3 linked regions of the Sus scrofa genome follow. Each later gene encodes a partner of the first gene's protein in a complex. Links are inferred from orthologs where the notes say so. Each region holds a gene or a part of one and is shown in the gene's direction. Other genes may lie near its edges. The genes, in order: STUB1, CHIC2 and HSPB8.

Region 1 (4,675 bases):
AAGCATTTATTGGGCTCCTACAGCAGCCAGCCTCTGGCCCAGAGACTTGTGCCCTGAGGTCACAGAGCAGGTGAGCAGGATCTGGGCCACAGCCAAATCAGTCGGTCTGGGTCCGGCGCTTCTTGGCTGGCCTGGAGTCCTCGGGGGCGGCTGGGCTGGGACCGAGGTCGGGCAGCAGGTCAGGGCACAGCTTCTGCCCTATAGCCCAGGTCCACAGGGCTGTCTCCACACGATGCGGGGTCCACAGCCCTGAGGCACTGCCTAAGGAGGGGCAACAGGGAGTCTGGGGCCCAGGTCACCCTGCTCTGCTGGGAAGCTCTGCACCCTCCACCCTGACCAGAGTCCTGAATGCCCTCCCTCGCTGCCAGCAGTCTCCTCACCATGGCTCAGAGCTGTGGCTCGCTCCTGCACCCGGCTCAGGTACAGCAGGTAGTGCTTGAGGGTGTACTGCAGGGCTGGCAGACCGGGCACCGCGGCCACTGCCTCCTCAGACATGAAAGCTGCCACCTCGGGAGCTCCGGCAGCCAAGACCGCTATGGGCAGCAAACAGCCAACACTCAGGCCCCACCAGCCTCAAGACACCTTCGGGGCTGCCATTCGCAACAGCTCTTGGTGTCATGAACGTGGCCATCAGGCGATGTCCCAGGCAAATGTACTAACAGACCAGGTTCCGCCCGCGACCCTGCCAGGGCGCCAGGCTCTCCCGACTAACCCGAGGCCGTGGCCGGGCCCACGCCCCGCAGGGCGCGTAATTCCGTGACCGCGGCGTGCATGTCTGGCAGGAGGGGGAAGGCGGCAGCCGAGTGCTGCACCACCAACTCCGGGGCGTTGGCGCTGACGAGCTGATGCAGGCGCGGCCTGAAGCGGCCCCGCTGGTCAAGTCGGGGTGGGGGTCACGGGTGCTGGACCTCGCTAGGGGCCCCGCCCCACAGCGCGAGGGCCCGCCCCCGGGCGAGCCACGCCCACGCCCACACCGCTACGCCCCGCCCCGGAAGGAGGCCCCGCCCCCCAAGTGGGAAGTTCCTCACAGCCAGCTTCCAAGCCAGCAGCTGCCCCAGCTCTTCTCGAGTCACGTGCTTCTCCTCCCGGCCCTCGATGGCTGCGGGCAACGCCTCTCGATACCTGGAGAAGAGCTGTGACGGCGACTCCGGGCCACGGGGGTCCCCCGCCCACCCGATGCCCCTATCACCCTACCATCGGTCCAGGGCTTCCAGCCGCCCCTGGGGGCCCGCGCGCGCTCGGAGCACTTCCCCGTGGCGGCCCAGGACGGCGGCCCAGAGGCTCGGGTCCTCACAGCCCCAAAGGCCGCGGGCCGCCGCCATGTCCACGCGCCGGGGCAGGGCTTCGGGGGCGGGGCGCCGGGGCGCCGGGGTGGGCTTCCGCCCCGACGACCTCGGCTCTCCTCAGGTTGCCGACGCCGCGCGTCGAGTCGCCGCGAGCGCACGCTCCCTGCCAACCCCGCCCCCGCGGCGCGTTGGGGGCACGCGAGGCCCCGCCCAACCGCACGGCCGGAAGTTCCGGTGGCAGAGCGCAGGACTGGGCCCGAGCGGATCGCGGGCTCGGGGTGCGGGCGCTGGGCGGGCCGGGCGCGGAGCCTGGGAGCGGAGCCCAGGCCGTGCCGCGCGGCGCCATGAAGGGCAAGGAGGAGAAGGAGAGCGGCGCGCGGCTGGGCGCCGGCGGCGGCAGCCCGGAGAAGAGCCCGAGCGCGCAGGAGCTAAAGGAGCAGGGCAACCGGCTCTTCGTGGGCCGCAAGTACCCGGAGGCGGCGGCCTGCTACGGCCGCGCCATCGTGAGTGCGCCCGGGCCGCGGGAGGGGGCAGGCGTCGGGGCCGGAGGAGGGGCCGGGCCGGGCCGCGGCTTCGGCCCCGCGTCCTCCCCGGAGCCCCTGTCTGGCCGCCCCTACCGGACTTTCGGAGGGGATGCACTTCGGCTCTGAGGACTGAGTGATCTTCTCTCAGAGAGGCCAAGGCTACGGCTCCCGAGCCAGGGTTGGTGGTCAGAGAACTGTGGCGGGTGGGAGCTTCAGGGTGCTTGCAGCCCACTGGGCTGGGGGTCCAAGCCCAAAGCTGGGGATTTTCAGGAGTCTGGGAAACCTGTCTTCGCAAGACTCGTTGGAGTCGAGGGGGCGGGCTCAGGTAGGCTCCACCCTTCCTCCGCGCCCAGAGACCTGGGTGCTGAGAAACCTCTAGTGTCTTGATTCCAGCCGTGGGTCTCAAGCTAGGACAGAAAGGGCAGGCTGAACTCACTCCCTCATGTTGGCTGGTCCGGCCTTGGTCCCCAGACCCGGAATCCCTTGGTGGCAGTGTATTACACCAACCGGGCACTGTGCTACCTGAAGATGCAGCAGCACGAGCAAGCCCTGGCTGACTGCCGGCGCGCCCTGGAACTGGACAGCCAGTCTGTGAAAGCACACTTCTTCCTGGGGCAGTGCCAGTTGGAGATGGAGAGCTATGATGAGGCTATTGCCAACCTGCAGCGAGGTGGGCTTGCTGGCTGGCCTGTTCCAGGGTGCCTGGGACCAGGCGGGGGGACTGGCTCGAGGGTTACCCGGATCCTTTGTTCCCCCAGCCTACAACCTGGCCAAGGAGCAGCGGCTCAATTTTGGGGATGACATCCCCAGTGCTTTGCGCATTGCCAAGAAGAAACGCTGGAACAGCATCGAGGAGCGGCGCATCCACCAGGAGAACGAGCTGCACTCTTACCTCACTCGACTCATTGTGGCTGAGCGTGAGAGGTGGGCTGTGGTGTTCATGGGCTCCACCCCACCTCCCAAAGTCACCATTCTTTTTTTCCTTGTTTTTTTGTTTTCGTGTCTTTTCGCCATTTCTAGGGCCCCTCCTGTATCATGTGAAGGTTCCCAGGCTAGGGGTCCAATCGGAGCTCTAGCCGCCGGCCTACGCCAGAGCCACAGCAATGCGGGATCCGAGCCGTTGTCTGCGACCTACACCAGTTCTTGACAACGTCGGATCGTTAACCCACTGAGCAAGGCCGAGGTTCAAACCTGCAATCTCATGGTTCCTAGTCGGATTCATTAACCACTGAGCCATGACGGGAACTCGCAAAAGTCACCATTCTGAGTCGTGAACATAAGCGTTTATTGAGGACCAGCCTGGGAAAGCAGGAGATGAGGGAACAGGGCCTGAATCGGCCCAAGGTGGAGTCTGATCTCCTCTGGCCAGACCCATCTCTGATCAGCTGTGTGGTCCACCCCAGGGAGCTGGAAGAGTGTCAGCGGAACCACGAGGGTGAAGAGGATGACGGCCACATCCGGGCCCAGCAGGCCTGCATCGAGGCCAAGCATGTGAGGGTGCCCTGCCCACGTGTGGGTCCTGTGTGTATTTGCACGTGTGTGATGTGAGGTGACCCTGGCTCCTGTTGGGTCTTTGTGGGCGGGGTGCCTGGGGAAAGGCGACAGGGGCTCAAGCTTCTCTGGAGCTGCCTGGTTTTTTGTAGGATAAGTACTTGGCAGACATGGATGAGCTCTTCTCCCAGGTGGATGAGAAGAGAAAGGTAAGCTGCCTGTTCCCTGGGCCCTGTGGGTAGCAGGAGCCAGGGCAGTGCCCCTTCCCGCTCCTGACCTGAGCTTGGGTGCTGCAGAAGCGAGACATCCCTGACTACCTGTGTGGCAAGATCAGCTTCGAGCTGATGCGGGAGCCGTGCATCACGCCCAGTGGCATCACCTATGACCGCAAGGACATTGAGGAGCACCTGCAGGTAAGGGTCCGTAGCCGCTGGGGGCAGGGCCCACACCCACTGGGCATCTTCTCATTCTGATCCTGTTGCCACTGCAGCGCGTGGGCCACTTTGACCCTGTGACTCGGAGCCCCCTGACCCAGGAACAGCTCATCCCCAACCTGGCCATGAAGGAGGTCATTGATGCGTTCATCTCGGAGAATGGCTGGGTGGAGGACTACTGAGGCAGGGCAAGTGGGTGGGCCCCTCACCCACCCTGCCCAGTATCCTGGCTTCTTGGGAGGGCCTTGGGGCAGCAGCCCCTAGCCTCTGTACATAGTTCGTGTCCCTGGATCCCCACCCTGGTATCCCCAGCCCCAGCCCCACCAGTTCTGCTGGGCCATGAGGCTCCCCCATCCTCCTGTGCCAGAAGCGGCAGGTGAGGGTGGGCCAGGCCGAGGTTGCTGCTGCCACCACTGTCCCTGTAATAAAATCTGTGAGCACTATGGGGGCGTGTGCTGGTGTGCAACGGCTTACCAGCCACCCCCTGGGTTAGCTGAGGAACGTAGAGATGAAGACGCTGATGTCAAGGTTGAGTGTGGCGTGCCACCATCGGTCAGGGAAATACAGCACCTAGTGGATGGGGTGAGAAAGGCACAGGGATTGGTTGCAGGCCCTTGGCCCGGCCCAGCCCCTGCCTGCCAACCACTGACCTCACCGGCCTGGATGGTGCATTCCAGGGGCCGTGCAGATGGTGCCAGGGCTGGGTATGTGTCCCGGAGCCAAGCCAGTGTGGTCTTGTTGGGATGGAACTCGGGTGTCTTCTCAGGGGGATACAGGAACCAGCGCTGAGGGTGGAAGGAGCAACAAGGTCATGCTGTGTTGTGGTCAGTGAACCTCAAGGTTCAGCCCTCACACTGTGCTGACCTTGCGGCCGTAGATCACCTCCGAGAACCCGGGCCCATGCCAGTGGAAGGGCACTCCAGAGCCGGCTCCTGTGGAG
Region 2 (3,912 bases), on another chromosome or scaffold:
AAGCAGTTAGATCATGTTCTTTTCATGGTGCGATTAGAATCAAATCGATTTCCCTACAGCCTTCAGCATTCAGATGGCAATTTTAACAAAGCTTGGGGGCTAGACAAGGGACAAAACGACTGAACTGAATGTTAATTACACTCTGCAGCCTTATTTTCTTTTGATTTGGGGCTGACTGGCAACTAAATTAACAAAAAGTGTGACCATAACTGCTGCCCTATTTTCATTTAAAAGGAGAGCTGCCTCTAAAAGGCTATCTTTACAAAGAAACAAGTGAGGTCTGCTGATCATTGTTAACAAGGGCACTTTTTTCCCTTTAAAATTCTTGCCCAAAAAACTGTTCAAAAAAAGTAGTGTAATAAATTAGTCATTGGCGTATTATTACCCAGAGAGTTAGTTGATTTTCTGATTTTTATGACATAAGTTTGGAAAATGTAAGGCAGTAGTAGTAGTAGTTATGAATTATAATTGGCACCTCTGTGACTGTGGTATGTCTCTAGCATGTTCAGCATGCTAAAAGGTAACATGGTAACTAGATTACAGTAGATACTTTAAATATTAACACATTTTATAACACTGAGCTATTCAAAACTAGCTGATCGTAACAATTTTCACCTAGCTCATCCTTGCTTGACATGCACATTTTCATATTTGATGATTAATACTTACTTAGTTGTGCCACATTAATAGAGCTAGATGCTTTTTCCCTTTCCTTGCAAGGAAGCTGCAGCTGCAGCAAGTTGCAGTTGATTCTTGTGGCAAAACTGTCCTGTTTGCACCTGCAGCTGTGTTGGTCTCATCCTAACACCTGGCACCATGAATTATGCTCCCTTTTATTCTTCCCAAGGAAGAAGCATTTCATGCTTCATAGTATATATTGCAAAAATCATGTGATCCTAAACATAAATTTCTTAGTTGATTCCTTTAACAGTAATATTTAGTAAAGAGATTTTTCAATAAAACTCATTTTGTTTGAAAACCAACAAAAATGATTGGTTTAAATGCAGTTTTGCCTCTGCTTGAAAATAGTTACCTATGGAATAATAAACCAGCTTTTAAATTTGGTCATCATTCTTATAACGTAAAAATTAGTTTGATTCGATAGCAAATTGATTTTAAATTAACTTTCAATTATTTCCTTCTTGAATTTATTCTAAAAGCCTTTTGCATTTTGTTACCTAATGCTTAACCTTTGTTTTAAAATATATATTAAAAAATAGAAGATGTATAAGGAAATCTTATTACTATTTAAGCATTACAAAAATATTTCTGAAAGAAATTGGGATTAAATTTGTATCATATGGTGAAAATTAGCTTTTTAGACTTTGCTGGTTTTAAATCAGAGCATAGTGTGTTTGAAACAGTTAAGAAACGCAATGGCGAAAAACCAAAACCATGTCTTAATCAAAATAGTGTTCTGTTTCTGTTCAGGCAGCTATTATAGTGCTCGAATGTTGATAGTGTTTATAGACCACCCTATACTCAGTCACTGTCTTATACCTCACTCCTTTTCACACAAAAAGCAGCTGCAAAACAAAGTTTTTCTAAAACCAGTCAAGAGTAAACTTTTTCCTCATTTGTCTTCCAGACACGAAGATCGATTGAGAAGTTATTAGAATGGGAAAACAATAGGTTATACCACAAGGTGAGTACCACAGGGAGCAGCTTCGTACTGTTGGGGTCTGAATTGCACAGTATGGAAACAGATGCTTTTGTTGAACTAAAAATATGAAAGGTGGATAAATGGGTTAGTCTGTGTGCTGCAATAAAATAGAGCTCATTTTTCTTCTTTTACTCTCCTACTTGTCTAGCTGTGCTTGCACTGGAGACTGAGCAAAAGGAAATGTGAAACGAATAACATGATGGAATATGTAAGTTAAAGGGCTGTTTTGTGAGTTTCTCTATTAAATGATCATTTATTTTGCTTCTGATCTTATTCTTTCCATGATTATTAATCAGCAAAGGTGTCAGGAGCTTAATCTCCTGAGCGCAAGGATTTTCTACGGTTCACAGATGCATGGTTTCATGTGCAAGACTGATTTATAAAGTTATGAATGACTTGAAAACAAGGCTTCACTGTGTTCTGAAAAATAATAAATTAATTGCCAAGATAAAATAGCCTGAACATGTGTTGATGGAGTGTGAAATTTTAGATGCTGTATAAAGAATAACCACAACTTTGGTTACGCAGCAAGTCAGATATGGCTTTTTTATATAATGCTAATCAGGTTTCCAAGTATGGAAGAAAACCTTTCAGCCAAGCCACTGGAGCTTAAGAAACCTTTAGCCTTTATAGATTTTAACTGCCCATACCTCCGTGGCCTTTAGAGAATCTTTCAAAGTGTTATTGGAATATTATTCTGTAAAAAGTATCTTAAAAGTAAACGGGAGATGAGATGGTACTTATCCTGTGTTTATTCGTTAAGTTATCTAAATGAGCATGTATATTCAATGGATTTTAGAATGGGATTTAATTTGCTGACTACTTGATTTACTTTATTTTTCTCCTTTTGAAAAGTTCAGAATGCTATAGAAAATTGTGACTCTTTATTCTCCCTTGAGTTTGGGTGTTTCATTTTAAATATGGAAAGGTTATTATATTAAAAGAAAAAGATCTGAGGAAGAGTTAAGTACCTGGAACATCATTTCTAACAAATTTCATCTATTCTTTGAAACAATATAGCCATCATAAGTAGTATATATGTATGTGTATATATAAAAGATTGATTAAAAGAGTGCTTAAATAGTTGGAAATTATCATACAATCATTTTTCTCTGTAGCATTTTCTCTTTCATTATCACACAGTAAAATCCCATTTCTAGCCTTGAACATAAAAGATGTCTTAAAGATGTGTCTTTTTTTTTTTTTATAGAATAGCTCTATTCAGTGAACCAAGTAATGAAGATTTTATCATTATTACATCAAACATGTTAATTTATGATGATAAAAAGGCACTTGATACCTCTTTATATAATAAAAGCACATTCACATAACTTATTTTGAGATAGACCTCTGGAAATGCTGGATTTGAATTTTCATCATAGATGATGAGAAAGATTATGTATTTTGTGAGGAGGGATGGATATCTAAGAGATTTAAAGGCTTTTGTGAAAAAATACTGACTATAAACCCAAACACTAAGCTCAAAATTGAGGCTTTTGTTTATTTACTTATTTTTTATTTACTTATTTTGCACATTTCTAAATTTACTTTGAAAAGGAGAACAACTTATTCCCAATTTCTAGATAGAACTGGAAGAATGTCATTCATTTATAAAATATGCTCATTATATTCATGTTTATTTTTTATTATTTGTTATTCATTTACATAATTTACTTCCAAAACATTCTGAACTATGTGCTCTGTGTATAAAATAGTTTCCTTTAATTTATCATAAATTTTTAGATAAACACTTTTCCTAGGGCCATTATATTTTTCACATCATCATAGAAGATATCCAGAAGAGTAGCTTTAAAACATTTGCTTTAAAAATGTATTTTTTCTAAATTTTCACAGAGTGTATATATATGTGTGTGTGTGTGTGTGTGTGTGTGTGTGAGAGAGAGTTGAATGAAGGGAAAACATAATTTTTAAAGCTTCCAAAAATAATTCTGAAAACTTAAGATAGTAAATGATCTATCAGATATATATATATATATTTGACCTAAACTTTTCTTTAACTTAGAGAAATTTCCTTTGTTAAAGGGAAATAATTTTCCTCTATTATATTTGAAATATTGGAGTCAATCTAAGAACGTGCAAATTTGTTACTAACTTTATTTTTATATGTGGCTTCTAAAGAGAAAAGTTTGTAGGATACACTCTTTAAAAACTAGTAATGATTCGAATATAATCAAAGATAGCTTTTATTATTCATTATATAGTATACACTATAAAATATAATTTAATCA
Region 3 (4,530 bases), on another chromosome or scaffold:
TCTTCTCTGTGTCACGCAGTGATTCTTCCCCTCGCGGCTCCACACCCAGCCAGCCTCGCCCCACCCAGCTGTAATTACAGAGAGAGCTGAGGCCCTGTGCCCGGCCCTGACGTCAGCCTGAAGCTCGAGCCGGTGACCTCACCCTAGTCACTGGGGACGAGGGCGCCCCAATCTCCTTTCCTGGGCCCAGAGACTGGGCGGCGGGGGGGGGGGGGGGTGCAGTGGCAGTAGCGGCGGGGTCTGGATCCTTCAGCTCCGCACAGACTTTCGGGTCCCCACCGAGGTCGTGCCGCCCCCCAGCGGTGTGCGAGGACCACGCTCGCCGCAGTTTCCTCATCTGCGAAATGGGCGTGGTGACGGCGCCCGCGTGGCAGTGGTGAGGGTTCAGGGCAGCTGCTCACTGCGTGGCAGGTACAGAGCAGGCAGGAATGATGGGGACTGTTGTTGTTTTCCATACTATTATTTTTAGCAAACTGCCTCACGTGGGCCCAGCTTAATACCAAAAGGATTTCTCAACCCATGACTCACTGAATTCCTTAACACCCCCAGCCCAGCCCACCCCACCCCACAAGGAAGGCGGGGCCCAGACCCTAAGCCCTGAGAGAGAGGATGGCACGCCCCCAGACAGCACACCTGCTGGGGACAGATCAAAAACTGGAATGGGAGCTCAAGGGGCCTTGAGATCAAAGGACAAGGTGTAAATTCAAGGGCACGGAGGGGCAGGGAAACCCAGAAAAGAGGTCTTCTCTGGGCTTGGAGTTTCAGACCGGACACCCTCCTTGAATTCAGCATCTTTGGGTAATTATCATTATTAACTGTCATCGTAGTAATAGAAGCTACCACTGGCTAACACTCCCTATGGTGGTTTCCCCTTCTGTAAGCTGGGGATAAGGCAGTACCCTTGCCTCACAGGACTGTTGGTGAGGATGAAGCCAGTGAATGTTTGTAAAGCATTTTTAGATCAGGGCCTGGCATCTAGCAAGTTTTATGTCATTGAGAAGCAACATTGAAAATATAAAATGTCAGTCTGCCGAATGCTTAAGGAGGATGACCTCATGGTGAGGAGGCTATTATTACTCTCCATTTTACAGGAGGGAAAACTGACAGCTCACAGCCACCTGGGGAAGAATGGTGACTCCGCTCAGAGGGTGCAAAAGGTGAGCTCCAAGAGCTTGAAGATGCTGGAGGGTTAGAAGGTGGGGATGGCAGGAGTTCCCTGGTGGTCTAGTGGGTTAAGGAGCTGGCGCTGTCATTGCAGCGGTTTGGGTTGCCGCTGTGGTGCAGGTTCGATCCCTGGCCCAGGGAACTTTCGATTGCCCTGGGGGCACAGCAAAAAAAAGAAAAAAAAAAAAAAAAGAAGAAGTGGGGAGGGATTGCAACCCTGGGCCATCTTCCTGCAAAACCGCTAGGCTCCTGTCTCTCTCCTCCCCTTCTCCAGGTCCCCAGGGGGTAGGCAGGATGCAGCAGGCTCTGGGGAAGGTATTTCCAGAGGGTGACCTGAGCCCTCAGCCAGGCGAGGGTTATTAATAGCCAGGCCTTAGTGCCCTGCTGGGGGCGGGCTCCCGAGGAGGGAGAGAGAGGGAGCGGGAGCGGGAGCGGGAGGGGGGCGGAGCGGAGCGCAGCTGGGGGAGGAGTGTCCGGAGAGGCTGGCAGAACTTGGCAGAGAAGGCCCCTCCCAGCCCCCTGGGAGCCCAGCTGTTCCCTCCGCGGGATTCTCGGGGGGCTGGTTCATCACCTCCGAATACTCCTGTGACAGGAGGCACTTGCAAAACCCGCCTCCAGCCCCCAGCAGCAATAAATAGAAGGCTCCCAGCCCAGAAGCAAGGAGAAGTTTCTAGGCCTGCGTCCTCGGTGTTTATTAAGCTCCCGGCTCCACCAGCGGCTCTGGCTGAGAGCCTGGACCGCCTGGGCGGAGGGTGGCTGGCTGTTCTCCGGGGAGGCTGGTGTGGAGAAGGGGGCCTGGAGAATTCTGCTGGACCAGCTAGGGGTCGGCTTTGGTGGCTGGAGCGTCTTTGGAGGCTGGGACCCCGGCCTGGTGTGACAGCCTCCGTCCCTGGCAGTGGATGGTTCAGCATTATTCCGAAGCTGAAGAATAAGCTTGGAAGACCCGCATACCCACACCACCTTGCTGTGTGAGACCTTGAGCAGGTGGCTCCCTCTCTCTGAGCCTCCGTTTCCCCTCTAGCTCAGCGGCCACCATGGCTGACGGTCAGATGCCCTTCCCCTGCCACTACGCCAGCCGCCGGCGCCGGGACCCCTTCCGAGACTCCCCTCTGTCCTCCCGCCTGTTGGACGATGGCTTTGGCATGGACCCCTTCCCAGACGACCTGACTGCCTCTTGGCCCGACTGGGCCCTGCCTCGTCTCTCCTCTGCCTGGCCAGGGACCTTGAGGTCGGGCATGGTGCCCCGGGGGCCAACGTCGATGGCCAGATTTGGGGTCCCTGCCGAGGGCAGGAGCCCCCCACCCTTCCCTGGGGAGCCCTGGAAAGTGTGTGTCAACGTGCACAGCTTTAAGCCGGAGGAGCTGATGGTAAAGACCAAGGATGGCTACGTGGAGGTGTCTGGTGAGTGGGGAGCAGTGGGGGGAGAGAGACTTGGGGTGGGGGGGCAGTGTGGGCTTCAACCTGGAATAGCCAAGGGACCGTTCCCTAAGAAGGGAAGCTGTGACAGCAGGACACAGGTGACTTCAGGGCCCAGGAATGCAGCCCATACAAGCTATCTTTACCGAAAAGCACTCCTCTCCTGGCTTCCAGGAGAAATTTTAACCTGGCTCAGCTGCTGGGTCCTTTGGGCACTGCATCAACCAGCGAACAAGAGGGAAAAAGCCACATGGAGAGTTTTGATAGAATTTAATATAAAGAAAAAGCTTTGCAGATATAAAAGGTGGAAAAAGCCGGAAAGAAAGTGGGGTTCCTGCACCCCAGCATCAAGACACTGTCCGGGAGGGGGGTGCCTGTTGCTGTGTCATGATAGTACCTAGCACAGGATTCAAGAGAAACACCTTCTCTGGTCCCCAGGAAGGAAACTGAGGCAGAGTCGTCAGTATAGGGAGGCAACTTGGTAACCCTGATAGACCCTCACTCTCTGCCAGGAACTGTGCTCAGCACTTTGCCTGTGGCATCTCTGAACATAACCAGAGGAGGTGAGTCCTGCCTATCTCCTCACAAATGAGGAAATAGAGGCCCAAAACCTGCTCAAGGCCGACCAGGAATCATGCCCAGGGTGAGGAGACCAGAAGCAAATCGATGGTTTGCTGAGCACCCAGCAGGTGCCCAGGGCGACAACCTGTATATTCCTGCTCACAAATCATCCTCACTCTAGCCCTGAGATGCTGCATGGGTGTCAGGTCCCATTTTGCAGCTGAGGAGTTTGAGGCCTAGGCAGGGACTCCTCCAAGGTCACGCCGTGAGTCAGCAGTCGGATGAGTCTGGGGCTGCCCACGCCACATCCCAGCCTGGGAGACAGGATGTTTTGCAGAACAGGAAAGAGGAGTCGGAGGTTCAGTCCCTGTTAAGCAGGGTGGCAGGGAAAAGGCTTTCAGTCCCTTCCCTCCCAATTAACGCTCCATTAAAAAGAGCTTGTTCCTGGCAGGCTCCACCAGCCAGAAAATCAATAAAAGCCATTGCAGACAGGTTGGGCAGGAACAAGCCTGGGGCGGGAGGTTGGGGGGGGGGTGTGGGGGTAGGGGGGGGATAATGCTTTCAAAACCTCCCAGGGCAAAATTATAAATATCAGTGGCTCCGGAAGGTGTGGTGGGTCCTTGTATGGATGGAGGGGGCAGTCAGGGCTTTGTGAGTTGGCTGGGGAGCCAGGCATCTGAAACCACTTCTCTGTGCTGTTTCCTTATCTGGAAATTGGGGTTCAGACATGGCTACACTGCCTAAGGATTGTTGTCTTCAAGGAGATAATGCACGTGAAGTGTGCCCAGAGTGCCTAGAACACAAAGGATCAGTATTGTTATTGTTGTTGATGTTGTCATTACAATGCTAGGCACACAAATACATATATCCACATTTGTATATGCTAGATGCTCTTCGAGACCTGGGTTCAAATCCCACCACCGCTGTTCACTCTCTGGTTGGATATGGACAAGAAAGTCTTTTCACCATTCTGAGCCTCAGTTTCCGCATCTGAAGAAAGGCGGTCATAATAATATCCATCCTGCAGAGCTGTAGAGAAGATTAAATATGCACAGACACCCTATGATAATAAATGCAGAGTGTCTGTAAAAGGGAGCTAATAATAGTGTCTGCCTGGCACTCTGCAAACAAGGTGATTATTATCACCACTCTTCTTGTCTTTGTTTTAATCAGGGTTCCACCCCAGGGTGAAGGGTCTCCCATGCCCTTTGGCCCAGGAGACCTCTGTGCGGCCTGGAGGGCTTTTTCATCTATCCTCCTTTCTAAGTGCTTCTTAACGGGTGTGGTCTGGCAGCTCCAGGCTGAGATCCCAGCTGAGTACCTTACTAATCCAGAGGCTTTGAGTCAGTCACAGAGCCTCCGTTTCCACATCTGTAAAACGGGGTCATT

The links.
Region 2: the proteins of STUB1 (region 1) and CHIC2 are in contact, whole or in part, in a crystal structure (PDB 8SUV), measured with the Homo sapiens proteins. The link is inferred for Sus scrofa from reciprocal best matches to the Homo sapiens genes STUB1 and CHIC2. Residues at the interface, in NP_005852.2 of Homo sapiens: Lys30, Asn34, Phe37, Tyr49, Val61, Asn65, Leu68, Leu71, Val94, Lys95, Phe98, Phe99, Gln102, Arg128, Asn130, Phe131, Gly132, Asp134, Ile135; in NP_036242.1 of Homo sapiens: Leu156, Pro157, Lys158, Thr159, Pro160, Ile161, Phe162, Arg163, Pro164, Asp165.
Region 3: STUB1 (region 1) and HSPB8 share a complex: the UniProt entries of both Homo sapiens proteins name them as parts of the chaperone-assisted selective autophagy (CASA) complex. The link is inferred for Sus scrofa from reciprocal best matches to the Homo sapiens genes STUB1 and HSPB8.

The regions. Positions count from the first base shown.
Region 1 is NC_010445.4:41,092,017-41,096,691, reverse strand, and holds STUB1 (E3 ubiquitin-protein ligase CHIP), read left to right. Parts: upstream 1-1,510; 5' UTR 1,511-1,630; coding exon 1,631-1,789; intron 1,790-2,281; coding exon 2,282-2,480; intron 2,481-2,568; coding exon 2,569-2,734; intron 2,735-3,071; exon of another isoform or gene 3,072-3,213; coding exon 3,214-3,301; intron 3,302-3,453; coding exon 3,454-3,510; intron 3,511-3,597; coding exon 3,598-3,714; intron 3,715-3,791; coding exon 3,792-3,917; 3' UTR 3,918-4,178; downstream 4,179-4,675. Other genes in the region: uncharacterized protein LOC100524737, read right to left, coding at 98-261, 381-533, 713-872, 1,029-1,122, 1,195-1,322; JMJD8 (jmjC domain-containing protein 8), read right to left, coding at 4,225-4,305, 4,386-4,520, 4,600-4,667. UniProt on the Homo sapiens protein: E3 ubiquitin-protein ligase which targets misfolded chaperone substrates towards proteasomal degradation.
Region 2 is NC_010450.4:40,794,553-40,798,464, reverse strand, and holds part of CHIC2 (cysteine-rich hydrophobic domain-containing protein 2), read left to right. Parts: intron 1-1,588; coding exon 1,589-1,645; intron 1,646-1,811; coding exon 1,812-1,871; intron 1,872-3,912.
Region 3 is NC_010456.5:33,636,885-33,641,414, reverse strand, and holds the start of HSPB8 (heat shock protein beta-8), read left to right. Parts: upstream 1-1,590; 5' UTR 1,591-2,198; coding exon 2,199-2,565; intron 2,566-4,530. UniProt on the Homo sapiens protein: Involved in the chaperone-assisted selective autophagy (CASA), a crucial process for protein quality control, particularly in mechanical strained cells and tissues such as muscle. Displays temperature-dependent chaperone activity.